4 linked regions of the Arabidopsis thaliana genome follow. The protein of the gene in region 3 interacts with the protein of the main gene of each other region in a pairwise test. Each region holds a gene or a part of one and is shown on either strand. Other genes may lie near its edges.

What was found.
Region 1: the proteins of RHA1A (region 3) and DiT1 interact in a protein complementation assay, tested with the Arabidopsis thaliana proteins (one large-scale study listed by BioGRID).
Region 2: the proteins of RHA1A (region 3) and GTR1 interact in a protein complementation assay, tested with the Arabidopsis thaliana proteins (one large-scale study listed by BioGRID).
Region 4: the proteins of RHA1A (region 3) and FOLK interact in a protein complementation assay, tested with the Arabidopsis thaliana proteins (one large-scale study listed by BioGRID).

What each region holds. Positions count from the first base shown.
Region 1 is NC_003076.8:4,058,142-4,066,354, forward strand, and holds DiT1 (dicarboxylate transporter 1), read right to left. Parts: upstream 4,149-8,213; 5' UTR 3,779-4,148; coding exon 2,690-3,778; intron 2,461-2,689; coding exon 2,239-2,460; intron 2,149-2,238; coding exon 1,786-2,148; 3' UTR 1,710-1,785; coding exon of another isoform or gene 1,709-1,709; 3' UTR 1,438-1,708; downstream 1-1,437. Other genes in the region: AT5G12850 (CCCH-type zinc finger protein with ARM repeat domain-containing protein), read left to right, coding at 1-1,047; MYB46 (myb domain protein 46), read right to left, coding at 4,798-5,359, 6,518-6,798. UniProt on the Arabidopsis thaliana protein: 2-oxoglutarate/malate translocator involved with DIT2-1 in primary ammonia assimilation and in the re-assimilation of ammonia generated by the photorespiratory pathway.
Region 2 is NC_003074.8:17,696,454-17,704,666, forward strand, and holds GTR1 (Major facilitator superfamily protein), read right to left. Parts: upstream 4,471-8,213; 5' UTR 4,319-4,470; coding exon 4,102-4,318; intron 3,536-4,101; coding exon 3,318-3,535; intron 3,238-3,317; coding exon 2,684-3,237; intron 2,595-2,683; coding exon 1,673-2,594; 3' UTR 1,489-1,672; downstream 1-1,488. Other genes in the region: HA4 (H[+]-ATPase 4), read left to right, coding at 1-39, 150-310, 419-604, 711-893, 974-1,152, 1,252-1,348.
Region 3 is NC_003075.7:6,904,673-6,910,807, forward strand, and holds RHA1A (RING-H2 finger A1A), read left to right. Parts: upstream 1-2,815; 5' UTR 2,816-3,104; coding exon 3,105-3,584; 3' UTR 3,585-3,770; downstream 3,771-6,135. Other genes in the region: RHA1B (RING-H2 finger A1B), read left to right, coding at 1,394-1,867. UniProt on the Arabidopsis thaliana protein: Probable E3 ubiquitin-protein ligase that may possess E3 ubiquitin ligase activity in vitro.
Region 4 is NC_003076.8:23,667,145-23,674,827, reverse strand, and holds FOLK (Phosphatidate cytidylyltransferase family protein), read right to left. Parts: upstream 4,562-7,683; 5' UTR 4,316-4,561; coding exon 4,001-4,315; intron 3,198-4,000; coding exon 3,130-3,197; intron 3,044-3,129; coding exon 2,912-3,043; intron 2,773-2,911; coding exon 2,657-2,772; intron 2,551-2,656; coding exon 2,258-2,550; 3' UTR 1,959-2,257; downstream 1-1,958. Other genes in the region: AT5G58575 (SAGA-associated factor-like protein), read right to left, coding at 1-224, 391-429; AT5G58570 (uncharacterized protein), read left to right, coding at 1,698-1,958; EOL2 (ETO1-like 2), read left to right, coding at 6,354-7,683. UniProt on the Arabidopsis thaliana protein: Kinase involved in negative regulation of abscisic acid (ABA) signaling. Substrate preference is farnesol > geraniol > geranylgeraniol, but has no activity with farnesyl phosphate. Can use CTP > ATP > GTP = UTP as phosphoryl donor.

The sequences.
Region 1 (8,213 bases), on a different chromosome or scaffold from region 3:
CGTCCCTTGTACCCTTCCACAGGATCTGGATTGCCATCTCCTCGGGCTTCGTCTGCTGTTTCCGCCTCTACTATGGACATGGCGTCAGTTTTGAACATGTTACCAGGCTCACCATCTGCTGCTCAACATTCGTTCACCCCACCAATATCTCCTTCTGGAAATGGTAGTATGCCCCATTCATCGATGGGTTGGCCTCAGCAGAACATACCGGCGTTGAATCTTCCTGGAAGCAATATCCAGTTGAGTCGTCTGAGATCTTCTCTTAACGCTAGAGATATTCCTTCTGAGCAGCTTAGCATGCTGCATGAGTTTGAAATGCAACGTCAGCTTGCTGGCGATATGCACAGTCCACGCTTTATGAATCATTCCGCTCGTCCTAAGACACTGAACCCTTCAAATCTGGAGGAACTCTTCTCAGCTGAGGTTGCATCTCCTCGTTTCTCTGATCAACTTGCTGTTTCATCTGTTCTATCGCCTTCCCACAAGTCCGCGCTTCTTAATCAGCTGCAGAATAATAAGCAGAGCATGCTTTCTCCTATCAAGACAAATCTAATGTCTTCTCCAAAGAATGTGGAGCAACATTCTCTTCTGCAGCAAGCCTCGTCACCCCGAGGCGGAGAGCCTATTTCCCCAATGAATGCTCGAATGAAACAGCAGCTACATTCACGCAGCCTAAGCTCCCGTGATTTTGGATCTAGTCTGCCCCGTGATTTAATGCCGACTGATTCTGGTTCGCCATTAAGTCCATGGTCAAGTTGGGACCAGACCCATGGAAGCAAGGTGGATTGGTCAGTCCAATCAGATGAGTTAGGTCGGTTGAGAAAATCTCATTCCTTGGCTAATAACCCAAACAGGGAAGCAGATGTTTCATGGGCTCAGCAGATGTTAAAAGACTCTTCATCACCTAGGAACGGAAACCGTGTTGTGAACATGAATGGTGCAAGGCCATTGACTCAAGGTGGTTCGAGTGTGAATCCTCACAACAGTGACACTCGTGAGAGCGACATTCTTGATGCGTGGCTTGAACAGCTGCACCTAGATCGCTGAGCCTCAGCTGCGAGAGAGAGGTTCACATTTCTGTGAAGCTGTGAAACTGATGATTCGTTTATTTATTATTCAAGAAAGCAAACGGAAACAAAAGCAAACTCCGGGTAAGCTTTTTTCGATTCTAATAACCCTAAAAGGCTCAGTTTTTTCAGGCTTCTTTCTGAAATTTCTTTACTTTCTTATTTTTATCACCTCATTAAATTAATTATTGTATCATCTCTGTTGTAACAATGGCCAAAGTGCGCCTCTATTACTTCCCGGATTTCTGATTTACATTTTTTGTATCCTCTCAGTTTGTCAATTGTTTCTAATATCTCCTTCATATTTGTCAAAGAACACTGTATGAGAAATAATAACATATTGTTTCAGCTAATAAGATTCATTCATTTCCTATTGCTTTCTCTGCTTTCCTGTTTTTTCCACTAAACTTTAACCAGCGATTCATAGACTAATAGACATTAATCTCTCAACTAACACGTTTATGGAAGTCGAGTAACTATCAAGTAAAGTGGTGGTCTCACTTTGAAACAGTAAAGTTAGAAATCAAACAAAATTGACGCAAGTTAAGATTGCTTACACTTCAAAATGTGTGTGAGTGAGAATAAAAATTGCAGAAAAACTCTGCTCAATCCTTATAACCCTGATTTCAATCCTTCTCAAATCTGAATCTCAAAGCCGTTCTAAGAGATTATATATATAAGTAAGGAAAAGAATGGGAAGATTGGTGTATGGTGGTCCTCACCACAAGCCAATGAACTTCCACCAGGCACCACCTACACCAAGCCAGATGAGAATGTTGACTATTGAAATCAGGAATCCATAGCCCCACCATTTAGCCAGCGGCACGTAGTTAGCTCCGTAGAAGATAGGCGCAGACCCGATACCATAATGGGTCAATCCTCCCATCAGGTTGGAAAGGAACGCAAGAACCAAGGCTGCAAAGTAAGGTGGAGTGCCTAGAGCGGTTGAAACCGATAAAAAGGCAGTGAACATAGCACCAATGTGGGCAGCTCCACTAGCAAAGAAGTAGTGAGTGTAGAAATACAAGAGGACGAGGATTCCAAAAGATAGCTGCCATGACAAACCCAATCCTCCCACAAACTGCAATCAAAACCCAAACAATGTCAAAACATTTCATTAGCATGCTAAGTCATTAGGCTTATTAAGCATTCATCAAATCATTTAACAAACCTTGACTACGGTCTGGCTGAACCACTCAATGAGACCATATTTGTTAAGATAACCAGCCATCGCAATGAGAGCAGCGAACCAGGTGAGTGTGTCCCATGCGACCGACTCAGCTAAGCACTCTTTCCATGTCACAACACCTGTCACAAGAAGGACTGATAATCCAAGAATGGCTGCAGTCACAGCATCTACACCCAACTTAGCTCCAAAGATCCAGAGACCAACCTGTGTCAAGGAGAACACTTTTTTAGAAAAGGAAAACCTTCTCTGTAATAAAACACCAAAACCACAAACATTTTCACTCAAAGCAAATGCATTAAACAGAAGCAAAGCCCTAGCTTAATCTAAGGAGCTACAATAGCTAAAATCTCTCAATGTTCAATACTGAAGCACCTTTCAAATCAAGCTCTCACCATAAGTAAGAACAGATCCGATGAAGCAGAAGCACACTTACCGTGAGGAATAAAGTGGCAGCCATAATCAATTCGTTCTTAGACATAGGTCCCATCTTGTCAAGCTTTTCCTGAGCCAGCTTAGGAGCATCAGGACTGCTCTTCACCGTAGGAGGATAGATGAGATACAAAAGAAACGGAACAACAATCAAAGACACAAGTCCTGGTACAATCGCAGCTTTAGCCCAATCAGTCCATCCAATCGTCTGCTTAATCGTGTTAAACGCCAAATTAGCACTCAAAGGATTCGCAGCCATAGCCGTCAAGAACATAGAAGAAGAGATCACAGAAGTCTGGAAACAAGTAAGCATCAACCACGAGCCAAGACGGTGCTCTGTTCCATCCCCAACGTTACTCCCACAAGCAACACAGAGAGATTTCACCAACGGGAGAAAGATTCCACCGGCACGAGCCGAGACAGAAGGAATCGCCGGAGCTAAAAGAGCTTCACTGAAGACGAGACTGTAACCGAGACCAAGGGAGGAGCTACCGAAGAGTCTAACGAACTGGTAAGCTACACGGTTACCGAGACCGGTTTTGATGAAACCGCGAGCGAAGAAGAAGGCAAGAGCGATGAGCCACGGGATTGGATCTCCGAAAGCGGAGAACGCGGCGGCGAACGTTAGGGTTTTGGTGAGAACGGAAGCTCCTAATCCCATTAGAGCAACAGCACCGAGAGGAAGCGGCTGAGTGATGATCCCGACGATGGTGGCGAGGAAGATCGCGAGTAATTGCCACGCGTTGCGAGTGACACCTTCGGGGACTGGAACGAACCATAGAATCAAACCAGTAGCGATCGAAGCGAGAAGAGGCTTAATGGCAGCTCCTTGCCATGGAACCGGAGCTGGAACCAAAGGAGGAGTTGGAGAAGAGGAAGCTGAAGCGACGGTGGAAGAGGCTTTAACGAGAGTTGATGATCTCCGGCGTAAAGAGACGGGAAGTGGAGATTTGAGTAAGGAGAAGCGAGAATCGAGAGATCGGAGAGGTTTCGTCAAATTGAGAGAGGAAGAAGGAGGACGAGGGAGAGAGAGAGATCGAGATTTGAGAGGGAAAGCGAGAGAGCAGGAGCCGGAGAGAGCGAGAGACGCCATGGTTGTAGCGTCGTCGGCGAGAGAGAGGTGTGAAGAGGAGAGGGAAGTGAAGAAGGAAATGAGTAAGAAGAGGAAAGAGAGAGTTGGATAAATGTTGACCGTTGGATTGGAATCGGACGGTGAGATTAAGAAAAGGAATATACGGACAAGAGTGAGAGAGAGTGATGATGAGATGAGATCGTGAGGTGAGAAATAGAGATCTCCGTCTTTGGTGGGTCAGTCACCTCATCCTATTGGCTGAAATATTTACGAAAAGCCATTTTGGGTTTGGGTTTGGTCTTTTTAGATCGACGAAACATACAAAGCAAAATCCTTCACTCAACAAATTTTCTATTGATTTATTAGCTTTGTTTTTTGGTTTTGAAAGATCTTAAACTATGCGTTTACTAGTGGATCGTCCAATGAAAGATTAACTGGCAATAGAATAGTAGCTTTCATTACATTGTCCAAGATGGGCCGAGATGGCTTCGCTTGGAATTAAATCTAGTGTAAACCCTTAAGCGGCCTCTCGTTTTTTTTTCTTTGAGTGTTATATGGTTCATAGTTTTGATTTGTTTGTTTAGAGTAAGGTGTGACATCAAATATTGAATACATGATTCTTTTATGTAAGAGGATACTTTCTAATGTGAATGTCTAAGAAAGTTACCAAATGTTTTAAAGTACATTCAATAAAACAAAATGTTCAGTTTTATCCAAAGATATAACATCAGAAAAACTTTCATTTAATTAGTTCAATCTTCTCCATTGCTACTTGATTACAAAATTCTTCAAGTGTTTGCCCCTGTTATATTAAAGAATGTATGTGCTTATTATTTCTTTTATTTATTTATTATAGGATATATGTTTTACATTGACTAATCATTACATGGCACCTCAAGGCTCAAGCCCTAGTACGAAAAGATTATTCGAAATACAAAATACTCTCTAACAATGTATATATATTTGCATTTATGTGTGTGTGGCTAAGAATCTTGAGTATAAACCGCAATAGAAAAAAGAATAAGATGACGTAAAAATATTCATATGCTTTGTTTGAAGTTGAAGTAAAACGAAGGAACCTCAGTGTTCATCAACTGGTCAAGGTCCCAAAATTCTTCCACTGGTCTCATACCCTCAGGTGCGTTTCCGGATCCATTAGTGTTCAACTCGTCTAAGTGGTTGTTTATATTTGCATTGTACCAATCACCTTCTTCACATTCCAAAGGTGGGAAGTAGAGTTCCCCTTGTACCCCTGCGTTTACTCCATAGATACCATCTACATAAGGGGTAAAATCGTCATTGCACGGGTGGCTGATCATGTTTCCCGTTGGAAATGGATTGTTGGTTTGTATGTGGGTCAAGGAAGGGTTGACGAAGCCTTGTTCTTGTAAGGACATGAAGCTTCCTATAATGTCTTTAATATCCAAAGAAGATGCGGAATTAGAAGAGGAATCGCTTGCTGTGTTGGGTGATGAGGATGAGTTGTTGATTAAGTTGGAGGTATCGGACATCTTCTTTAGCCTTTTCTTTATTGTTGAGTTCCAGAAATTCTTGATCTCGTTATCGGTCCGACCAGGCAATCGTGCTGCAATCTGAGACCACCTATGAAATCGAAGAATAAGAGAGTAGAATAGTTTAATGAGATGATGTTATGTAAAATGTATACCAGTGCATGGTTTGCATGGGAATTAGAGAGTGATCCGTTCTTCATGTTTTTTATGTTTGAGTACGTGAAAAAGAGGCAATATATCAACAATTATAAAATTGCACAATCATATTAAGCAATAAAATGACATTATACACACTGCGTGTTTTGAATTGAATCTATATATATATATATATATATATATATATATATATATATATATATAAATAGAGAGGAAACATGTCCTGCGTAAAAAACACTAGAACGTATATTTCTGGAGAAAGTGACAAAAAAAGGAACTAATAAATATATAATTACAAAGATGAAAGTTGAAGTAAAACCCTAAGGAAGAGAAGAAAAGGTGTGTAAAGTGACAAAAGCCGCTTTCACTAAAATAAGTGTTTGTTGTTAGATAAGATCATAAGACGCACTCTAAGTCTTAAAACCCACGATCAACGAACTTTGACCACTCACATAATTACATGTGAATGTACTCATACCTATTTTGGTTTTATGCGTCTATTTCCATTCTTACTACTATTATTCTAATTCAACTTTCTTTTGGGTCAATTTTCTTCGTACACAATCATTCTTCCCTTTGAATTTAAACAGTTACTAATCGTACCAATGAAAACTCGACCAAACTTTATCCTTCCACGTAAGTTTGATTATACATTTTACGATGTTAACGTATCTTATATATATAGTATTACTTTTTACTGATTAATGTAATAGTATAATTGAAAACTCGTCCTTAAAACAAACATAGATATTATACCTCTAAATAGATAGCTCTGCACTTCTTATTTATTTGGTAGAAAAAAAAAATCAAATAAAATATGGTGAAAACGTTATCAAGATCTAATTTGACAATTTGGTCGTTTTAGGGTGGACTTTTTTTTTAAAATCAGTTGACTGGCTTTTCTATGCTTTAACTTTGTACCCATTAACCGAAAACAAATTAAGCTACACAAGTTTAAAAACAAGACTCACCAGACAAAAGCTAGTTTGCCAGAACATTTATATTTATCTTCCGGCCACTAGTTTCCATATTTTATTCTATCTCTTAGTTGTTGTTATTATGTCAAAACCAAAATGATGGTAAAAATGTAAACCTGTTGCCGAGGATGGAATGAAAGCGAATGATGAGATCCTCTTCTTGAGGAGAGAAAGCGCCACGCTTGAGGTCAGGACGAAGATAGTTGATCCAACGAAGACGGCAGCTTTTGCCACATCTTTGAAGTCCTGCGTTTTTCGCAACATCACTCCAACATCCTTGTCCATTGCTTAACATGTATTGCATCAGCTTTGAGTCTTCCTCAGGAGACCAAAGTCCCTTCTTCATCTTCTTTACTTGGTGAGTACTAGCTGCAATGGCTACCTCTGGCTTCCTCATATTTTTGGTTGAGTTAATTGTTATTATTTCTCTTCAATTTGTTTGTCTTTCTCAAGGATCCATTGATGTGAACGAGTGAAGTTTGTTTTATAATAGAGAGAGAAAAGAGAGAAGACTTGATGAAGGGAGAATGATGATGATGAGAAAGGGATGGTTGTATGGTTTGCTTACAATTCTGGGAAGAAAAACCATTTGCACTTCTTCCTTTTTAATCTCTATTCCTTAATTATATTTTTATTGTATATATTATATTTATAATATAGTGTTGCTTTGTTTTAAAACATAAAAGAAAAACATCCGAACCCTGGCTCTTTTTCAAATTAAACACATTTTTTTTGTCGGCATATATTGTGTAAGGTAAATAAAATAAAATACACCAACAACAAATGTATGTTTTGTATATAACTAATTTGACGAAATGAAGAAACGTTAGTTGATCGGTCATGGACGAAAACGGTTTTGAAAAAGACCCGATATGCAAAACATCAAAGAAAAAAAGGAGAAGTGCTCTTCACTTGTTCTTAATTTTATTTTCTTCTTTTCTTGTTCTTTTTGAATATATAACTCATTTCTATTAGTTTCTTCATTCACAAGGTATACATTACAGACATATCTAATTCGTTAACCTTACGTGTGTATATATATGATATATAACATTGATATATGATAGTATATAACATTAATATATATATTCATGAGCATGTCTATTTCTATTCAAAGATGTCTTCATTTTCAAGGTAAGCAAATGTTGTGTTATTTAATTAATTGTATACGTATGTAAGCATATTTCAATTGTATAAAATAAATCGACGTGTGTCACAGAACCCTTTTTTTGTGTTATATGAGGCTTAGCGAGCAAGAAGTTTTGCTTCGGCTTCACACAACCACCTCTCGCGCACCAACACGTATACTTGAAGAAATCTAATTATTGTAATGAAGAAAATGTTATACTCCTTTTATCCATATATTTTATATTCGTTTTTTCTTTAATATATAAACGTGTGTCATGATTTTTTAAGTTCTCGATTTACACTCATATCATTTTTATTTTTTTACAGAACACTCATATTATATGATTTATAATATTAATAGCCCACCCATCCGAAAAAACAAAACTTTTTATACAATCATAAACAAGACATCCATAGATAAAGTACAAAAGAAGTTAGAATAGTACTGAATCTTGAATCTTGAACATAATTCCTAATGTCGAATTGAAGGCCAAAGATATATCTTAACCTTTAGGGGAAATTGTTTTTGGTGTAATCTCTTTTGAAGCTTGCAAATGCAACCTCTTGTATATGCATGAAAAAAGACGTCAGCTAACCAATTTAAGTTGTAACTTGAATGAACCTAGTTATGTAAAACTCGTGGACAAAGTTTGAAAATAACGAAATGCAAGATTTCATCAATCG
Region 2 (8,213 bases), on a different chromosome or scaffold from region 3:
CACCTTTCATGGTCCTTATCATTGCCATTCTTAATGATGGTTCATTTCTTATTTCCTCTTTTTCTCGATCATAATTAGACTTTCAGAGTTTTCTATTAGTTCCTCTAGACTCTGATATACCAATGAACTCTTGTGGAATTGACGTTTAGGTACGATCATGACAATATCAAAGGACAGGGTGAAACCTTCCCCTCTTCCAGATAGCTGGAAGCTTTCTGAGATTTTTGCTACCGGTGTTGTCTTTGGCAGTTACATGGCCATGATGACCGTTATATTTTTCTGGGTTTCATACAAAACCGATTTCTTCCCGGTACATTTTCTCTCCTCTCCGTCACTTGTGTTTATCTCGTTGGTTTTATTTGCTTTGTTAATTCTTTCACTAACAGCTAATCTCAGCTTTTCTTACTTGAAACTTCAGAGAACTTTTGGAGTTGCGACACTTGAGAAAACTGCTCATGATGATTTCCGAAAGCTTGCCTCAGCCATATACCTGCAAGTCAGTATTATCAGTCAGGCACTTATCTTTGTGACCCGATCGCGAAGCTGGTCTTTTGTGGAACGTCCCGGGATATTTCTTATGATTGCCTTTATCCTCGCTCAGTTGGTAATTCCGGAAGTTTGTTAACTGTGTGATCAGTACACAATGAGAACCTCAAAAGTTATGAGCTTTGGGTCTAATTATATGAATTTTTGTTTTGCTTCCAAAACAGGTGGCTACTCTAATTGCAGTCTATGCAAATTGGAGCTTTGCTGCGATAGAAGGAATAGGTTGGGGATGGGCCGGGGTCATTTGGCTCTATAACATCATATTCTACATCCCCCTTGATTTCATCAAATTCTTCATCCGCTACGCTCTTAGTGGCAGAGCCTGGGATCTTGTTATCGAACAAAGGGTATGTTATTAGGAACACAAATAGCTTTTGTGCCACTTTATACATTAAAGTTTCTTATCGGGTTTCTTGCATTTTCATAGGTTGCGTTCACAAGGCAAAAAGATTTTGGGAAAGAACAAAGAGAGCTGCAATGGGCTCACGCACAAAGAACGCTCCATGGTCTACAAGCACCAGATACTAAGATGTTCACAGATCGAACCCATGTCAGTGAACTTAACCAAATGGCTGAAGAAGCCAAGAGGAGAGCTGAAATTGCTAGGTAAAGTAACTCAAAGCCAAATCTTCTCCAGCTTTTTGAACATAACAAAAGAACATTTTTTCATCGTCTTCTCTCTGTCTACTGCTCTCTTCTTTATAGGTTGCGTGAACTTCACACGCTCAAGGGCCATGTTGAATCAGTGGTGAGACTCAAAGGACTCGACATAGAAACCATTCAACAAGCTTACACTGTCTGAGAAAGTGAGTGCAAGCTGATTTCAGTTGGGTCATGAAGGTTGTGTCTGTAGTTAATACATACATATTGCATATAAATATCGAATCCTCGTAGCCTTCTTTTAGCGGTTTGTTATGTTCTGTTCTGTTGTGGTGATGAAAGAAGAAACAGAAACTTCGTACGGAGGTTGAAATTAGCAACAAAAAACTTATTTTACAATACATGTCTACAAAGATGAAGTGATTTTCTTCTTCAATTAATCTATAAAAGTACAACAAGGTTGATTTCGGGTGAAGAAAAACTACGGAGATTGAAGTAGAATACCAAAAATATATAAGTTTCCAGATCAGACAGAGTTCTTGTCTTGTAGCTGCTGTTGCTTGGTTTCTTCTTCATTGGTCTCAATCTCAGTGATGTCTTCATCATTACCTCCTTTGTATCTATACCATCTAGCCATCAACAAGAAGTAAGCCATGTTAACAACCATGAGTCCTGTGAGCATGAAGTAGAAGTAATCCAATTTCGCTTTGTTCAGATCCTCAGCTAACCAATTCCCTGAAGGTGAATGCGCGGTTGTTCGATGAACAGTTGATATCAAGAAGCTAGCGAGGTAGCTCGAAACCCCTGCACCGACATAAAAGATAGAACCCGCGAAGCTCTTCATGTTTTCAGGAAACTGCTTGTAGTAAAACTCCATTTGTCCAATGGCAGCAAAAGCTTCTGCTATGCCTGCAAGTGTAAGCTGCGGAATCAGCCACAACGCTGACATTGATGAGATTTCTCCTGTCCGAGGCGCCATCCCGAGTGTCGGTTTGGTCAATGCAAAGTTTCTTCTCCTTTCCTCTATAAACCCGGAAACTAATAAACTCATTATCGCAAATGTAAACCCAGCTCCGATTCTTTGTAAGAGTGATATACCGGTTTCTAACCCGGTCACTCTTCTGAGCGACGGGACAAGTACACGGTCGTAGAATATGATGAAAACTGTCATGCCAGTCATCAAGAACACTACATAGGTGGCCGCAGGAATCCTGAAGCCACCAGAACCTAATCGTCGGTCGCTCTGGAGCGCTTGGAAGACCGGATAAGTCATTTGTATAGTTATTGCAAGGTAGTATATCGTGGATGCAAACCAGATTGGAATCACTCTTACAATGCATTTCACTTCTTCCACTTGCTGCAACGTGCATAGTTTCCATGGATCGGAAGCCGTTCCATCGGAGTTCAACTTCTCCTCGGGGGTCATAATTGCTGCTTTGTCTAGAAATCTGGCAACATAATAAACAAACATTTTTCAGCAAAACAAAAGCCAGAAACATAAAGCAAGAGAACCAAGAATAAGTAGATATCAATTTACCTGAACTGGTCGGTGTATTTTAGAGTAGTATTTGCATAGTTAGACGGGATATGGTTGTAAAGATTGACCCAAGGCTGCTTAACCGGCTTCAAACCTCGTTTCTTGATCGCGGCTGCTATAACACGAGCAATACCAGCCAATGGACTACCCGAGGCTTTCACTTTTACATACAATCTATCGCCAGCAAAGAAAATCACACACGCCAAGAACATAAGAGCCACCGGAATGATCAAACCGATTGTCCAACTCACATTTGACTGGATATACACAACTGCTGTGAGCGAGATGATCTGCGCGAACGTGAAAGTGAAGAAATACCAGTTGAAGAAACTGTTGATCCCTTTCTTTCCTGATTCGGATTTGGGGTTGAACTGATCAGCACCAAACGCTAAATTACACGGTCTGATACCACCAGCGCCTACCACAAGAAAGCCTAAACCCATGAGCAGAAACAGTATCTGTCCCACACTTGGCCCTTCGCACGAGATTTTGTTTCCGCAAGCAACGGGGTGCAACGACGGAATTGCAGCAGTAAGTAGTATCACAAACGATCCCTACAGAGATGAAAAATGGTTTAGAAAACATTGGCGAAAACGAAACCGGAGTCATGAAAGATTATATATAAAAGTAGTACCAGAAAACAAGCGATGACAGCGACACTGAGAGTCTTGTAGCGACCAAAGTAAGTGTCGCAAAGAAAGGCAGCAATAAAAGTCCCGAAATTGATTGTACCACTAAAGGCATTGATGATAGTTGCAGCTGTGTAGCTCTTAAGGTTGAATACAGAAGTTAGGTACACAAGAAGGTTTGATAATGTCCCTATGATCCCAAGCTTCTCAAATGTCTCATTACCTACAATAGCAAATTAATGATAAGAAATTAAGAATACAGTTACAGTTTTTTTTTTACATTTAATGTACAAGGAAACACACAAATCAAAGTTTGGACTTCCAATGTTCTGACTTTGGTTCACATGAAACTTTATAACTGTTTTGTAACTCCCATAAACTAATTTTGTCTTATCCAGAAATTCACAAAAATCTTATCTACTTTTTTCAGAAACTTAACTGCATGATTTAAAGTCTCTGTTTTTTGTGTTAAAGATTTCAAAAGTCTCTTTGAAAATAAAATGAAAACAATTGTAAAAAATATAATTTCCATTAGACAGATCTGTAAGATTATCTGGGTTTCATTGTTTCAACGAAATCTCAGTTTTAAAACCAATTTCACTTCGAAATCTCAGAGAAAGAACTCCAAATTCGAGATTTTTGACAGAGTCAAGTCAAAGAGAAGAGAAAAGAAACGAAATTTAAAAACATCACGGACAAAATGTTACACTTCCCTAAAATCCGACAAAGCACCCCAAAAGAAAAAAATGATGTCTGAATTAGACACAAACAAGTAAAAAGGAGCGTTACCAATGATAAAAGGCATGACTTTCCATCCTCTATAAACGATTTTTCTCTGCTCTTCCTCGAAAGAATCGACCACATCGGTGTTAGTCGTCGTAGTAGATGGCTCAACCTCAAGAGGCTTTCTCTCCATAGTATCAACCTGTGTGTAATGATTGGTGTTGTTGTTGTTATGATTCTTATCTCTTCTGTCTCTATGGTTAAGAATGACTCTGCTCTTCATGTCAAGCTTCTCCGCTCAATTATATATAGTGGTGGAATCAAACGAGTGGATTTTGTCGGAATCTGGGCAAAGGGGGAAAAATGAAAATAAAGAATGGTGTGAATTTGGCTGTGAAAGATAGAGACATCTGTCTCTGAGTGACTCATTTTCATTTATTACTTTCCCTTTAACGTTTCTTTTTAATGTGTGGGCTGAGTTAGCTGGATTTAGGTAGGCCCATTTTTACACTAGTAAGTCAATATATTGTTTCAAAAGTCAATTATTTTATATATTAGTTTTTTGTTTAATGAGATATGTATGTTTACATTACACCAAGTTTATGATTTCAGATTTCTGTAGTCAAATTTTTCGATCGAATTATTATATTATATATGTCAAACCTATCAATTTAATAATTTTAGGTTTCGGTTGCGTAAAAGAAAAACTAGGTTTCGTTTTTTTTTTCTCTCTAAAATCTACTAGCATTTATAATTTACGAATAAAGTCAACATACTTTCTAATTTATGTTCTTTGTAGCTATTTCAAAAAAAATCCCTTCTTTTATGGGGGAATTTCAAAAATATCCAAGTAATATGTTTTTTAAATAACCGCATATATTGTATATTTTCAATTATGTATAACGATATATAAGATTTTTTATAAAAAAAAAATTTAAATACAAGATTTTCTAAATGAATTATAAGATTTTATAAATATGAATGATTATTCAACCACTATAAGCCGTCACAGACATTAAATATATTATTTTTGAAATATGTATAATTGAAAATGGACAACACATATGGTCAATTTTAAAATATATATATATATATATATATATATACACATAGTAAAAATGGTATATTTCTAAAAAAATTCTAGTTTTATGGATAAAGAATTTAAAATTTTATAAGTATCAAAAACTAAACAAGAATAATGAATAATTAGTTTTAATGTAAGTTATGCATGTAATTTACTTTTAATATATATGATCCACATGCATGTGCAGTGATAATAATTATAAGTCGGTAGGTGTCTGTATAAAAGATCTAGAGCCAGCCTCTCTTTTTCCCAGCTAATCCTAATTAAAAACACATTTCTCTTGTATATATAAATATCTATAAAGTGTATTGTTCTATGTTTACCCTACTCCCGTAAATCAAAAATATATATATATATGAATGTCTTCTCAAATAACTTTTGCCGATCCCAAAAACATCGAACTACCCGAAATACACATTTGGCAAGACATCATTTTGTGCTATCAGTCGACTTTATGCTTTTGAACTAATCTTAAAGGTAGATCACGCCCGTCTAGAGGACATATACGTTTGTTACAATATGAATGCATATTGCCATCTTCTCTTACAATTTAATGTTGGAGACATTTGGCTACTGACTAAGACCCAGTTGACCGACCAAATTGCACATTTGTACGTATACCTGCATGGGGGTGGGGGTAAAGCGATAGAGGTTGCTTTGGATATTTGGTTTCCAAAATTACCAATGGGGTAGAAAAAAGACTATAAATTAAAATAAATAATTAATTACTTATCGGTTCATAAATTTCATAAGATTCCGTTCATAAATGGATGATTACATATGTAAAGACAAGAGGCAAAGGGTCCACTTTAGTTACTTCACATTTATTGAGGTTATTATTGATGTGATTTCGAAGTTTGGCATATATGATGAGTATTGCAGTCCACAGAATTTGCTAGTTTTAATCAAAAACCTAAACACACACATGCTTAGGGGAAATGATACCAAAAAAACACCTAGCATTTGCCAAAACAATATCTAACTAGCTATCTCATTGGATATTTACGCTAGAGTTTTTACATATAATATTTGCCATCTTAACACCATCCTAATTCACAGTTAGAAACACCGTTCAGTTTCTGTTTCAGTAAAAAAAAATCATCAAATCAAAACCCTAATTGAAGCAAAATCCAACTTCTATATATTTCATCCCTTTTTCCTCCACCGATCTCTCTCAGTTTCTCGCCAGTCTAAGAACCAAGATCTAATAAGCTTTGGTAAAATCATGTGGTAAAAACATTTGGCTATGTTTTTGTTTCATTGTTTTTTTCTGTTTCCATCGCAAATATATAGAGGAAGCTTTCCTGTTCCAATAATTTCTAGAATAACTTTCTCTTTAATTGTCGTGTCTTTTTCTTTCTAATTAATTACTGCGTCTAGTCCAGAAGTTTTGATTTGAGTTGCTCTTGTTTGTTGGAGCTCATAATTAATAATTACTCTCACTTTTTCGTAATATATGATCCGATAGGTGAAACCTTAGAAGATCGTCCAGCTAAACATGTTGTGTCCTCTTTCGAATTCTCGAAAGATTCCTCTAAATTATTCAATAGTATGTTTCACTGAGTGATTTTTATTCGCTCATAATTGTCTATAATCTATTATAATACTTGCTAGGCATAGACGATGACAAGTCATTGTTGTTGACAAAGCTGTGGACCCAGGATCTTATCTACACAACATTTGTTTCACTAAATTGATTCTCATATCCTCTTAAGTCTTTATTTGAGTTCAAGATAAACAAAAAAAAAAAAGATAAACAAATCTTCCTGATAAGCAGAATATCTAGATGAATACTTAGTATTTAAAATTATAGTTTTCATACGTGTAGATTGTTGTGCAAGATGAATCGTATACATTATAAAGTCCTAAACTCCGTTATTAAGCCGACCCAAAATAAAGTCATAGATATAACCAGTGTTTTCTTCCTTTTCAATTAGGTTTTGACTTGAAAGATCCCAACTCCAAATTATTTTGTAGTACAGTGTTCACACTAAACATTTGCTTCTTCTTTTTTTAATGCACACAAATATACATTACTTTAAACTAAAAAAAAAATAACAATTCAAGGAAGACTTCATGGCATTGCAGACCAAAAAGAACCTGGCTGCACATGCATGTAAGAAAATTAATATGGACTTCAGACCAAGAAACTGATGTTCTTAAAAATTATACAAAGATAGTTCTGGATTAGGGATTCTATTTTTATTTTTGCATGCTTCCAGTTCATTTCTCATTTAAATTCAACTACATAAATACCAGTTATTTTTCCTTATAAGTGGAGTCTACATATTTAAATAAATAAAAAGCAATGCCCAATTCTATTTAGAATTCCAACAAACTGGCCTGAACAAGAAATTTATTTGTAAGAGAGAAAAAAAGGGTGTACGATGGGAAGCATTGCAAAAAGTTATAATTTAGCAGACTTTTCAATAGGTTTATACAATAATATATAATGATATTTTTCTAATCTTTGAAAACAACACTGTTATACTAATATATGTACGTGTTGGATATACGTGGACCACAAAAACACATGTTTTATGGTGTACGTATGTATACAGTGTACACACGTGTTTTTTATTGTGAAAATTATGAGAGAGTTATTGTAATAAAATAGTACTCCATAATCCATATACCTACCAACTAAGTCCGTATCATATGTGAAAAGTGAACAATGGTTTAGGAGGTGATGACTAAATAGTATGGTCCGGTTCGGTTAAATAACTCAAATATGAACTCGTAATAATTTGGACTGGTTAGATTTTGGCATCCTTTTATAATTACGTTTGCTAAAGAATGTACGTTTCGGTGTAATATATGCATGAAAAAAGAAAAACAAAAACTAAATCGAGAAAGAATTCAGTTCAGTTGGGTTGTCATTATACGAAGAAACTAATCAATACAAGCAAACAAGAAAAAAAAACATATATGAAAATAGAAGAGGTGGTTATGATGATGATGATGATGATGATGATGATGATGTATGTCCATATTACCATATACTTCCTACTTTTTGGGGTTTGACGCGGTTTATTTGGAAATTAGTGATTTGATCAAGTTGTAGAAAGCAACACAACTATCTACACAAGTCAAC
Region 3 (6,135 bases):
CTATTTTAAAATTTTACTTTTTGAAGTAAAATTTGTTTGTTGAACCGAAGAAGATGATTCATAAATCAGAATCACAATCTTGAAGGCCATATATAGAGGCTAAATAAGATGGTGGAGCCATCCATTACTGCAGTTCTTTCTTAGCTTACAAACTTATACTAAATCGACTAGTCTTTAACATTATTTTTTTGTTTCTCTTTTTCAATTACCGGTAAGCGATTAGCCATTACGTGGATCATATAGTAACTTATATAATATGATTACATCTTTACTTGATTCAAAATGTCTCTACTACAACAAATTCTATATTTGCAAGCTAAGGATTACAAATTTGATATCAGTTTGTTGCTAAATTTTGAAAACTCAATGTGTTGCTAAATTTTGAAAACTCAGTGTGTTGCTAAATTTTGAAGGTTCAGTGTGTTGCTAAATTTTGAAAACTCAGTGTGTTGCTAGATTTTGAAGGTTCAGTGTGTTGCTAAATTTTGAAAACTCAGTGTGTTGCTAAATTTTGAAGATTCTGCATGACAAAACTTTAAAGATATTTCTGAGAAAACAAAGTGAAACGCTCTGACATTGGATAATTCATTGTGTCTCTTTGTGCAAACCGAATATAGAACTACGACAAGATGACTTCATCACCGTTATGTCTGAATAATAAAGTACTAAAGAGTGTCTAAATGCGTGCGAATTAAAGTATGAGTGCGTCCAAATTATGGGTTTCGTACCAAAGGCCCAATATCAAAGAATGTGTATCTTTTAGTGGGAATAATAAAACGACAAAAAACAAGGATAAATTCACAACAAAAAAATGGAGATGCGGGGTATCGATCCCCGTGCCTCTCGCATGCTAAGCGAGCGCTCTACCATCTGAGCTACATCCCCATTTGCTCTTCTATATGAAATTTGAAGTATATAATATCTCATGTAAGGAGAGAATCATTCTTATGGATTCAAGATGATTTTAGTTTGGTAGGACCTATAGATTCAAGATCGTGTTCATATCTTCACTATCCACTCTTGAATCCCTGATGTCAAGATCCCAATAAATCCATCATTCGGGTATTAAATTTCTACCTAATATTAAAATTTGTTTTTTTTGTTTTGGTATATACTAAAGAAGACCCTTAACGTCACCACATTATCTATCACAGAAAATTGTATTAATATATTCTCTTTGTTTCTATACCAAGCAAAATATTTTACTATTTTACATTATACACTAAATAAGACCCACCATTGTTGATCAAATTGACTATACTTATCTTGAGCCGCCGGATTCAATTATTATAACTCCAACATCAATCTCACTATATATTATACTTGTCTCTATAATTCAACAATTCAAGCTTTATCTCTTTCTTTCTCTCCTCTCTATCTTTCTCTCACACTCATGGGTCTTCCAACAGATTTCAAAGAGCTTCAGATTCCAGGTTACGTACTAAAAACACTTTACGTCATCGGTTTCTTTAGAGACATGGTCGATGCTCTTTGTCCTTACATCGGTCTACCAAGTTTTCTTGACCACAACGAGACCTCTCGATCCGACCCGACCCGACTCGCTCTCTCCACGTCAGCAACTCTTGCCAACGAGTTAATCCCGGTGGTTCGTTTCTCCGATCTTTTAACCGATCCGGAAGATTGCTGCACGGTTTGCTTATCCGATTTTGTATCCGACGATAAGATTAGACAGCTGCCGAAGTGTGGACACGTGTTTCATCATCGTTGTTTAGACCGTTGGATCGTTGACTGTAATAAGATAACGTGCCCGATTTGTCGGAACCGGTTCTTACCGGAGGAAAAGTCCACGCCGTTTGATTGGGGTACTTCAGATTGGTTTAGAGATGAAGTGGAGAGTACCAACTAATAATGATGGTTTTACTTTTACTTTTTACTTTTTTCACGGTAATATTTTTCTACTGTATAATTCTTTCTTCCAAACTACTGTATAATTCAAGTATAAGATTATGTAATTGTGTATATTAGCATCAATCATCTTTCTTTGTTAAAGAACCGTCTGTATAAAATCTTCCAATGTAATCTGCTTTTCTTTTATTTGAATAAAAAAGTGGACAAATAAACACATCAAGTGTTATGGTATATCGCTATGTTAGGAATCTGAATTCATTTTCTTTTGAAGAAAAACAGTATTCATAATCTAATTCGTCTCTACCAAATAGAATTTGTAAACAGTTTTATACCGAAAAATATCTTAAAGAAACTCTTAATTTGTCTATTAAAATCCATGATACTATTTTTATTTGTACTTTATAAATTACAGAATGAATTAATACGTAAACTACCTTAGTCTTTGTCAAAATTGATATAAAGCAATATATTTTATTCAAAAAAAATAATAGTTTAGAAGATATTTCATCCACTATAAATCTATATGTCTTTCGACGAAAAAAACAAATTTTTGCCTTTCATAATATCTATCAAATGAATCTTTTTTATCATATTTAAATTCTTTCTGTTGTACTTTATATAACTACTACAAAATTGACATAGTTTGAATTAAAGCGGATAATCGACTTTTTAACTGATATTATTTGAGTTTTGCTTTGCTAAAATCATATACTATATTTAGGAAGAATTGTTAGAAATGCACATTTTCCATTACCACTTTTCAAAAATGTCATCTCTCTAAAACATTTATCAAAAATATCTTTAAAATCTGAAATATACCTAAATAAGTGTAACTTTATAAGAAAACTTAAACAAACTACTTTTATACGTTTGTAAAACTTTATAAATTTTTGGATGGAGTCTCTGAATAGTCGTTACCATTTTGAAGTAGTATTAAAGAACTTTTTTTTCTTTGAAAAATCCTTTAAACAGTGTTATTAAAATTCCTTGATGTCAATAGTCTTTAAACTGTGTTATTAAAATTCAACCATTCACCGTTTTGCAAAGAAAAGTATATAGAATATGTATTCTCTTTTGTTTTGACATCAATTTGGTTATACTTATCTTCAGCTGCCGGTTTGAATTGTACTCCAAACACAATTATAAATCTCACCATTTTTTATTATACACACTTTATTCTTGTCTCTATAGTTCCACATCTCAATCTAGCTCTCTTCTCTATCTTTCTCTAAATCATGGGTCTTCCTGAAGATTTCATCACCGAGCTTCAGATTCCAAGTTACATATTAAAGATACTTTACGTCATCGGTTTCTTTAGAGACATCGTCGATGCTCTTTGTCCTTACATTGGTCTACCTCGTTTTCTAGACCACAACGAGACCTCTGCACCCGATCTGACCCGACACGCTCTCTCTACGTCAGCGAGTCTTGCTAACGAGTTGATCCCGGTGGTTCGGTTCTCGGATCTTCCGACCGATCCGGAAGATTGTTGTACGGTTTGTTTGTCAGATTTTGAGTCCGACGATAAGGTTAGGCAGCTACCCAAGTGTGGACACGTGTTTCATCATTATTGTTTAGACCGTTGGATCGTTGACTACAACAAGATGAAATGTCCGGTTTGTCGGCACCGGTTCTTACCGAAAGAAAAGTACACGCAATCTGATTGGGGTTCTGGTTCAGATTGGTTTAGTGATGAAGTGGAAAGTACCAACTAATTGGTTTAATCTATGTCGGCAGAATATTTGTTGTATCAATTCCAGTATAACTCTATGTATATTAACATAGATCATCTTTTTGAAGGAACAACACTATATATATCTTTATACAAAAACAACACTATATCTAAGGATGTCAAAATGGATAACCCAACTCAACTTAACTCATAATCAAATGAGTTTAGGGTTAAATGAGTTATGGGTTGACCCAACTCATTTTGTTAAATGGGTTGGGTCAACCCATAACTTATTTAATTTGATGAGTTGAGTTGTTAAATGGGTTAACCTATTTAAATAGTAATTTAATTAATTATTATTATAAAATAATAATAAATAATTATCAATATTAATTCATTATCATCAAACTTAGGATATTTACCGATTCCACTTTTTACGGATTTACGTTTTCGACGAGAAAATCACGGGTTTACGTTTTTGGCGGAAAAATTATGGATTTACGTTTTTGGCAGGAAAATCTCGGGTTTACGTTTTTGGCGGGAAAATCTCGGGTTTACGTTTTTGGCGGAAAAATCACGGGTTTATGTTTTTTTGGTGAAAAAATTACGAGTTTACTTTTTCTCAATTTCATCGTTTGTATATTTAAGAAATTTGGAAAAATATTAATTTTATTAAATTGGTTTAGATGTGTTGATTAAACTTAAATTGACATTGGTTTAGAGATTTTAGTTGGTTTAATTCAATTTTACAAAACTTAATGGGTTAATTGGGTAAACCATTGAAACCATTAACCATTATAACCCAACTCATTTTACTCATCAAACCAATTGACTCATCAACTCATTTGACCCATCAACTCATTTGAGTCAAAATTTTCAACTCATTAAGGTTCATGGGTTGAGTTGAGTTGAGTTGACCTATGAATTTTGACCCATTTTGACACTCCTAACTATATCTATTATCATCAGATCAATGTACCGAGTTATAATTTATTTTAATATATTTTCTTGTTACAAAATTCATTAAACATATGTTTTTTTCTGATGGTTTTTAATACTATATAAACTAAAGAATGATTAAATATGTACAACTAACTAGGTATTAAAAAACGATGTTTTTTAAAAAGAAAATAATAACTAAATCAAAGACTTTTTATTTAAAACTCCATTTTATTTCAAAGATATTACATCTTTTGAAGAAATGTTTTCATTTTTGATATACGAAAAATAATAACAATTTCGGAAACATTTTATTTCGAAAGAAATAAAAATCGAAAATAATAATGATTTTTATTTATTTCATGATTATATTTATCAGTTAAATCTTTTTATCATATTAAAATTACTTCAACGTACTTCATAATATATGAATTTGTCAAAAAAAAAAAAAGTTAATAAAAAATACACATTTCTCATATAGTATATGTACATGGAAAATATGGATTAAAGCAGGATATTCGACCTTTTTACTTTTGTTATTTGTGTTTTGTTTGCTCTGTTTAAAACATATACCATATTTTAATATTTGCTTTGAGTTATTATGTCTATAATTTTTTTGAATAATCAAATCAAATTTAACGAATATTTTGCCATGTCCTACTCCTAGCTACAGAGTGTACCATTTGATAATGATAGGTAACTGATATGGAGTATATACTAAACTAAATTCCTAGTATACAAGAATCTTATTTGTTTTAGTAGGTTTCGTTTTTTTTAATCAGAAAAACCAAAGTTAGGTAAAAGTTTGTCAACAAATCGTGGATCCACGAATACATCGAATATCGTCTACATTCATTTGAAGTAGTGAATGACGCAACCGTTGAAATTGAACAGTCAAGTCAAGTGTACACTTTTGAATCTTCAGTCTTCCAATGTGTGTAAATAAATTTTCAATACTAATGATGATTCTGGGAAGGTTCATGATATGCACGACTTGTCAAAAGCTCTCACATTAAAATATGTAATTCTTTTTGTTTCTTAAAGTATAATTGAAATATGTATGTCTACATCTCCATATGATCAATGCTTTAAACCAAAGAAAATCATGTTTCTGCCAATTTGTGTTTGGAACAAATAAACCTAATGAAAGGTTAATAAAACCAATGTGTTTAGATTTTTTTTTTCCAAGTAAATTAGTATATAAAAAGAATATATTTATGTTATGTGAATAATGAATGCAATCTAAAAAATTACTATTTAAAGTAGGTCTTTTTCTACATTTTTTATATAATTAGATAAGACACGCCTAAATAGTTGGATTGAATATATAAGTTATTGATGGTGTATGAATTCTAAAAAGTAATCTGTATTTTCTTAATATTTAATTTACTAACTTTTTTAAAACCAAATTTTAATCATACATATTTCATATTTCTATACACTTTAACAATCTATTCCATCATAATAAACTTAAATTTAAATCTACATACTTCATCTAATTTATTTGAATTTTAAATACTAAATAGTAACACATACACTTTTTATATTTAATTTAATACTTTTTTGAAAAGACAAATTTCAATCTTACATATTCTATTTTGCAGTACAATTTAACTATCTATTTCATCATAATAAAATGGATTTTAATTCTACAC
Region 4 (7,683 bases), on a different chromosome or scaffold from region 3:
ACAGGAGGGTGAGTCTGCCCAAATATATCAACAACATATTTGGTGTTGGTTTCGAGGTTGTTGCTAGGATCAGCGATCTTCGCACGCGCTTCCACTGACAATCTCAACTCTTCTTCTACTATATCCAAATCACGATCAAGTCCTAGTCGTGCTACCCGATGACACTCAGATGCTACATCAGCTATCACCGAATCCACAAGATCAAGAAAAATTTGGGACGAAAGCTGCAAGCAAAGTTCAAGAGCAAAGAAACGTAAGTCTAACTTAGTTTCCACTAGGCAGTTACTTTAACAAGGAGGAGAAATCTTAATAGTTTTACATAGAACGAGAATGTGGAGCATATAAACAGTAATTGAATTCATCATGAGATGAGACTAAATGAACAAATACCTGAGCATGGGAAGATTTATTATCCTCTGCGCCAGACATTGGAATCCTCTAAATACGAGATTGCTCAACAAAATGTCTGCGAGAAAATCAAAACCAAATCGTAAAGAGAGATTTCCATCACCATCAGGAGCCCTAGAAAAAGCGAATTTCTCCAGAAATCAAAAAAGTCGATCATCACTATCTAACAGATTCGTTTTGGAGTTTCTGTGATAGGAAACTCTACTACTCATTCCTCACAACTTTACTGTTTCAGGTTCCAAATCAAATCATCCAATAAAACAAACCCAGTCTACAAGCATAGATACAGAAACGAAATCGCCGTAGAATCAGAAAGCTTACACTGTAGAGCCGAGTCGCGACGGTGAACGGAGGAGGGAGAGAGAGTTTTTTCTCTCTCGATCTGTTGAATTTTACATCGGCGAAGAAACCACCAATCATGACTTGCCACGGCACCCAGGCCAAGCTAAAATATTAAACGGCAAGCGTTTCTTTACTTAATCATATAAACGACACGGTTTTCCTTCTCACCGTCACCTCGAATAGAAAGAAAACGACACTCCACGTCATCTAATTTCTGTTATGATTTTTTTATTAAAAGCCCATCTCATGGCCCATTCAAATCTCTTTTTTTTTTTTGCAGCACCCATGCAAAATCTCAGTAGAGCACACCTCGATTATAGCTTCTTCTTCTAGTTTGGCACAATTGCTTTTTTGTTTCTTCTGAAAATGTCTCTTTCAGAACCATTCAATTAATACAAGCATACCACGTTTTCTTCTATTTCGAGAATGCGTGAAGAAGTTAGCAATTTTAAATGGGCCAAATCAAAGAGTAATTAATTTTTGTATTCATATAAATAAGGGCAGAAGAAGAAGCAACTAACATGAGACACAAGGTCGCTTCTCTCTTGAGGAAATTTCCGGGAAAGTCACGGAGTCGGTTATGGGAGCCACACGAAAAGGATTTTCTTCAAATTACGAAAACGACGTCGCACGTAAGATCCAAAAAGACCCAATCCAACGCCCCATATGTAGAGAGCAATCACTAACGAACGTCCCAGTCTCACTTTCTACACCAACCTTTATACAAAAATCCATCTACTAAATTATCCCAAAGAAATATATTTAAACTCTTCTTTTCTTCTGTGGTGACATATTGTTTTCATTTGATACATATTCTCCCAAGTCAAATTTATATTTCAGAGAGGAAAAAGAAACAGACACAAATCCCTCCAAGATGATGCATGACAGTATGAAGTAGGTATGAGCAAAGGAGTTGAGATTTGAGAATATTTGAGATTACCTCTCTAATGGTAACTTCTACGGTGGAGGCCTCGAGTCCTGAAGATGGCGAACGACTTACTTTCACTAGAGACAGACACTACGCCATGCATGGTGAGATCTTGACGGTAGTTCTTGTCATCAGCTTCGCCGTCTTCCTCTTGTTCCTCGTGTTGCTTCCTTGTCTGAAACGCCGTTACAGTCACCAGTCCGACCTGTCAGAAGAGGCTTCCTGGAGCGGGACACTCAAGCCCTCACCTGTTGTAAGCAAACAATCCATTTCCACATAGCCATAGGCCAAATAACAAACAAACATGTATTGAATATCTGTTACAAAAGAGTATCTGTTACAAATTGTAGAAGCGTCACTGTTCGTCATCATATGTCTCACTAATGGATAGAACATTACAACATTGTACCCAACTGCAATTGCAGCTGAAAAATAAGATTTGTGGACAACAACAATATGAGATGTTTCACTAATACGTACATACAGAAGAAGATGGGAACAATGAATGCAGTTTTACCTCCATATCAGCAATCAAGCTCGACCCTTTATTTGATGATACATAACAACGAGAGGGTATTATTAGAAGAGTAAGAATCCGGCCAAGGCAGAGGTTAAGGAAATGGTGAGATTGTCGTCAATGTCGGTGCTTATTGGGAGTGATTCCACAAGAGCTGATGCTATAGAGATGACGAGGAAACGAAGAATCATTCCCCCGCTATCCTCGATGTAACCAAATGAAGCAAAGTAGTACATATACGCAACAGATGCTAGAAACCCGGCGGTGGCCATTCCAATGCTACCAGCAAATGATTTGTTTTTGTTGTAAGGAAGCTTCTCTGTTCCAAACCGCCGACCCACAATGTCAGCCATACCTTTTAACAGCAAGTGTGTGTATTAGAATCATCATTCAATGGATTCAAATTCCTAAGACAAAAGTTGCTAATGTTATTGGATCAAACCAGAGCTAACTGTACTTACCATCTCCTGCGCAAAGGTTGCATATCACCGCAATCGCGATTGGGGATGATTTCCAATAGTAGATGCAGGCTGATGTGATTGACAGTACATAGTAAAGCGGCCCCTTAAGTAGTTCCCTGATGCAGAGAGCGACTACAGACACTTTGTGAAGTGACAAAAGCAATAATAAACAGACAAACCGAATTTTGATCATAGATACCAAGAATGCTAAGAGATTGTTGGATATTGTGACAGACACTTGTTCGATTCAGCTACCTGCGATCTCCATGTCTGCTCATTGACTTGATTGTTCCTTCGTCGTGGTACACTCCAAGCCCCAGCAATAGCATCCTTACTATATTGAGTCCAGGTACAAGAGATGCGAAAAGTGCTCCTTGGATTCCAGAACTGAAACAATTGATATCGAAATAAACTGGTGAAGCAGAAAAGCAAGCTGGTACATCAAAATCGATCCTTTCACTCCGTATTATTACCTGAACAGCGGCCAGCAAAGCATAAAAACTAGCCCAATATTTATATGCACAAGCTTCCGGATGAGTTTCTGAAAAATAAGAAATAACACCAATGTCAACCACAGATGTTAAACCAATGCCTCATTCAATAAAACCATGAAAGTGGAGTCAGTCCTACATCAGACAGCCTGTGGATCTTATAAATTCAATGGGTTCTGAGATGATATCTTAATCACGATAAGGTCAGAGAAACAAAATCAAGTAGCTGAAGCCATACAGGTATTCCCAAACCAAAAATGTTTAATAGAATTTTTGCTAATCATAGATAATTCCTCTACTCCTAACCAAATTACTTGAAGAAAAACAAGTCACTGCGGAGAAACACATAAGAGAAAGGAAAAAAAAACAAGCCATGTCCAATATGTGTATAGACTGACTCATACGAAGAAATAATCCTTCAAAGTATAGCAAAGAAATTGTGCAACATTTAAACCTACAAAATTCATATATATCATAAATATGGTTGAATCTTCAAGTTACGATGAGATTGTGATTATACCGCACGAATTTCAAAAAAATTTCATCCCCAAATTGGGTTCTGAGCAATTTTCCCACTAATTTACCAGATATGGGGTTACTTTCCCATTGTTTATCGCAGTGTTCTTCCACCCCAAAATAGGTATCCATTCACATTCTATAATTTCTTGAACTAATAAGATTTATTATCCTCGCCATTAATGCCATCCATTACTCGATAAAGCTTACTACTACCATTACTCTGAATCCAAAGTTGCTTTAACCAGAAATTGCAGAATCGAGCAACATTCCAAAAACGTTATTCAACAAATCGACGCGTGTATAATTTAATTAAGTGAATTGAATGATCGAAAACCTGGTCGAAGATGCCACGTTTGCCAATCTCTCCCCAGAAACCGAGGCACGAGAACGCAACGATGCTAGTGACTCCAAACGCGCAGACATCTGATAAAACCGAATTTTCCGGAAACATCACGGCGGCGAGTGAAGACTTGCGGATTTTGGTGGCCGGAAACCTAGAGCTCGATCTAAAGCTAGTCGCGATTCGGACAGTGAGGAATCGTGGAATCGGAGAGAAGAAGGCGAGAGAAGGAGGAGAGTCAACGAGAGGAGATGAAATGAAAGAGCAGCAGAGAACGGAGAGCTTTGTAGTAGTACTAGTAGTTGCCATTTTCTGCAACACTAGAAAACACGACCTTTTCTTCGATTACGTTTTCATTTATTTTTTTTGACAGTAACTGGTTGGTAGTTGTTGTTGCTCAAGCACACAAAATTTGGTTTGTTTTATTGTTTACCAAAAAGATGGTGAAAAGTGGATATTTATTTCCCCAAAAGGAGTGTTTTACTTTATCTGGTCACATATGGATTAAAGCAATTTTAGTTTCGTTCTATTTGGATTCGGCTAGAATGGTTCATGACATGGTGGTGTTCGTTTGAGGAAACGCATAATTTGTTATTGTGGGCCTAGTTTGGGCTTTATATTCGCTAAATAATTTGGGCTGGTATAAGTCAACTAGACGGACCACAATTTGATTTCATCAAATAATTTTTCATGATTAATAAATCCCTAATTTAGTTACGAAACACAATTCAATTATTGTGCTACTCAGATTCGAGAAACATAAAAAAAAAAAAAAAAAAAGTGATTCAGATTCCCTCACATGGGTTGCCGAGACACATGACCACACGTCTCTTGCCTTGTTTAATCTTTTATCAATTTTGCATCAACTTGTATATACCATAAGAAAATTATTTTAATTGATTTCAATGTGAGATTTTCTTTAGTATTTTTTGCATCAAATAATGCCAACCTAATCCTCAATTATCCATCTTTATTTTTTTTCTGAAACAATCTTATATTATTTATCTGTTGGCAAAAGAAAAAAAATCCTCAATTATTTCGCAAATGGTATATATGTTTATCTTTAAAGAGTACACTTGCATGTGTTTTCCAGGTGTGCGGGCAAAAGAACATCAGAATTGGTTCTGGATATAGTTCTCTCCACTTTTTATTTGTTATTGTTTTAATACAGTACGTTTTATGAGAGTTTTTTATATATATAATAAATTATGCGTTTCCTGATAGTTGTTGGTCCAATATCGAGAACAAAAAAAACTAACTACAAGCTAAAAACCTAAAACTATGAAGATCTCAGAAAATATAAATATACACGCTCACGTTAGCGAGTAAAAAAGTAGACACCAGATTAACAAATGATTAGTGTGATCACAGTAAAGAAATGTTTTGCAAAATTTTAAGCAATTTTTTGAAATCATGTTGTATGTAATAAATTGAGTAAATTCATGCTGTACATAAATTAAAGACCATTTCTTTGTTAGTCATTGAAATCATAACCAATCAACCAATAAAACTGAATTTTTTTCGTTCATTAGAGAGATAAGTTAATATCTTCAAAGTTTAATGTTAAGCTCAATTGTTTAGATAGGAGATAACCGATAAGAAACCACATAACTAGTTAACCTACCTATCTTGGCATCACATGAATCAATGACGTTGGATAGTCAGAGAGGCTTATTTTAATTATACCCGAAACGAACCAACCATCTATAATTCTCTAAACTATATTTAATCATCATATAACTCTGTAATAAACCCAAATTTTCACAAATTAAAAGCCATACCAATATCTTCAAATATGGAAAAAAATAACAATTTAACAAAGAAACAAAATATTTCCTCACCAAAAAAACAGAAACAAAATATTGTTTTAAAAAAGGAAAGTGGTCTTTACACAAAAAGGAAAGAGAAAGGAAAGTGGTCTGGTTCGTATCGCACCCAATAAGAACCACCAACTGTTGAAGTTCGTAAACTGTTCCACAAAAAAATGCATAAAAGAAAGAAAAACAGATATGAGATTCGACCATTTTTTTTCCATATAAATGTTTTTTGGGTTTGCAAAAATCGACGCCATTACTCTTTTTTCTCCCCAAATTATTGACCTTTTTATAAAAATAATTTATATTCTCAATCACACTTCATCGTCTTCTTCTTCCTCTCTCTCTCTCTCTCCTTTTTGTCTCTGCACTGTGTGTTGTCACCGGAGACAGAGCTTGTGTTTTCAACTCTCTCTCTCTCTCTCTCTCTCTCTCTCTCTCTCTCTCTCTCTCTCTCTTGCTCTCTCCGTCTCCCTCACTCTCTCTTTACTTCAAAATCAAACCCTTTTCTCAGATTTCTGTGATATAGCAAAATGCGCAATCTCAAACTCTTTGAGAGATTTAAAAGCACTCAAGTCCACGCCTTTACTACACAAGACTCTCCCTCTACAAGCAGCAATGGTAGCCCTCGAATGATGAAGTTCCTTGGGCATCCCAAATCCAAATCTCGTTCACTTCTCCCTCATGGCTTTCCCACCACAGACCTCCTCGAGCCTCCCTTGGACTCTTACCTCAAACCTATCGATTTGGTGGAGTCATTATCAAATCTATATCGGAGAATCGAGTCCAGTTCGGAATCCGAGGCATCGATGCTCTACCTTGAGCAGTACGCTGTTCTCCGCAGTCTCGGTGATGCCAAGCTCTTGCGTAGGTGCCTTCTCAACGCTAGGAGGCACGCCATTGATGTCCCTTGTAAGGTTGTTTTCTCTGCTTGGTTGAGATTTTTTAGGAGAGAACATGAACTTGTGGGAGTTGAATCTATGGATTGTAATGGGCTTGCTTCTGAATGTCCGAAGACTAGTTTGACTCATGGTTGTGATTTGAATGTAGACGACGAGGGTTGTGAATGTTCTACGGTATGTGAGGATGAATTTGGTAGTGATGACGTTAAAATCTCTAAGGCTGATGAGTTTTCGGGTCTAGATGAGGTTAGCGATATTTCCTTCTGCGTAGGTTCAGAGAAGGCTAAGTGTGTTAGGTCGAGAATCGCAGCGCTTTCGCGTCCTTTTGAGGCCATGTTGTATGGTTCTTTCGTGGAATCAACAACTTCTGAGATTGATTTCTCGGAAAATGGCATCTCTATTGAGGCAATGTTGGCACTCAACATATATAGTAGAATCAAAAGAGTTGATCTGTTTCGTGTGGAAACTGTATTTGAGCTGCTTCAATTAGCCAGCAAATTCTGTTGCGATGATCTGAAGTCTGAATGTGAGGCTCGCTTGGCTGCTTCTGTCACTGACCTTGATAAAGCTTTAACCTTTGTAGAGTACGCGTTGGAGGAACGCACAACGCTTCTCTTATCTGCTTGCTTGCAGGTGTTTCTGAGAGAGCTTCCTCAGTCTCTTCACAATCCCAAAGTGATGAGATTCTTCTGCAGTTCCGAAGCAAAAGAGCAATTAGCTTTTCTGGGTTCAGAGTGTGTGTTCCTGTTGTACTACTTCCTCAGCCAAGTAGGCATGGAAGAGAAACTCACGACGGACACTATGCTGATATTGCTAGAGAGAACTCGAGAGTTTGCTCGTACAAACTGGCAAAAGGCTTTGTCTTTGCATCAAATGGGATGTGTTCTGTTTGAGAGAAAGGATTACAAAGCAGCCCAGTTTCATTTCAGATTAGCTTCAAGCTTAGGGCATGTCTACTCTT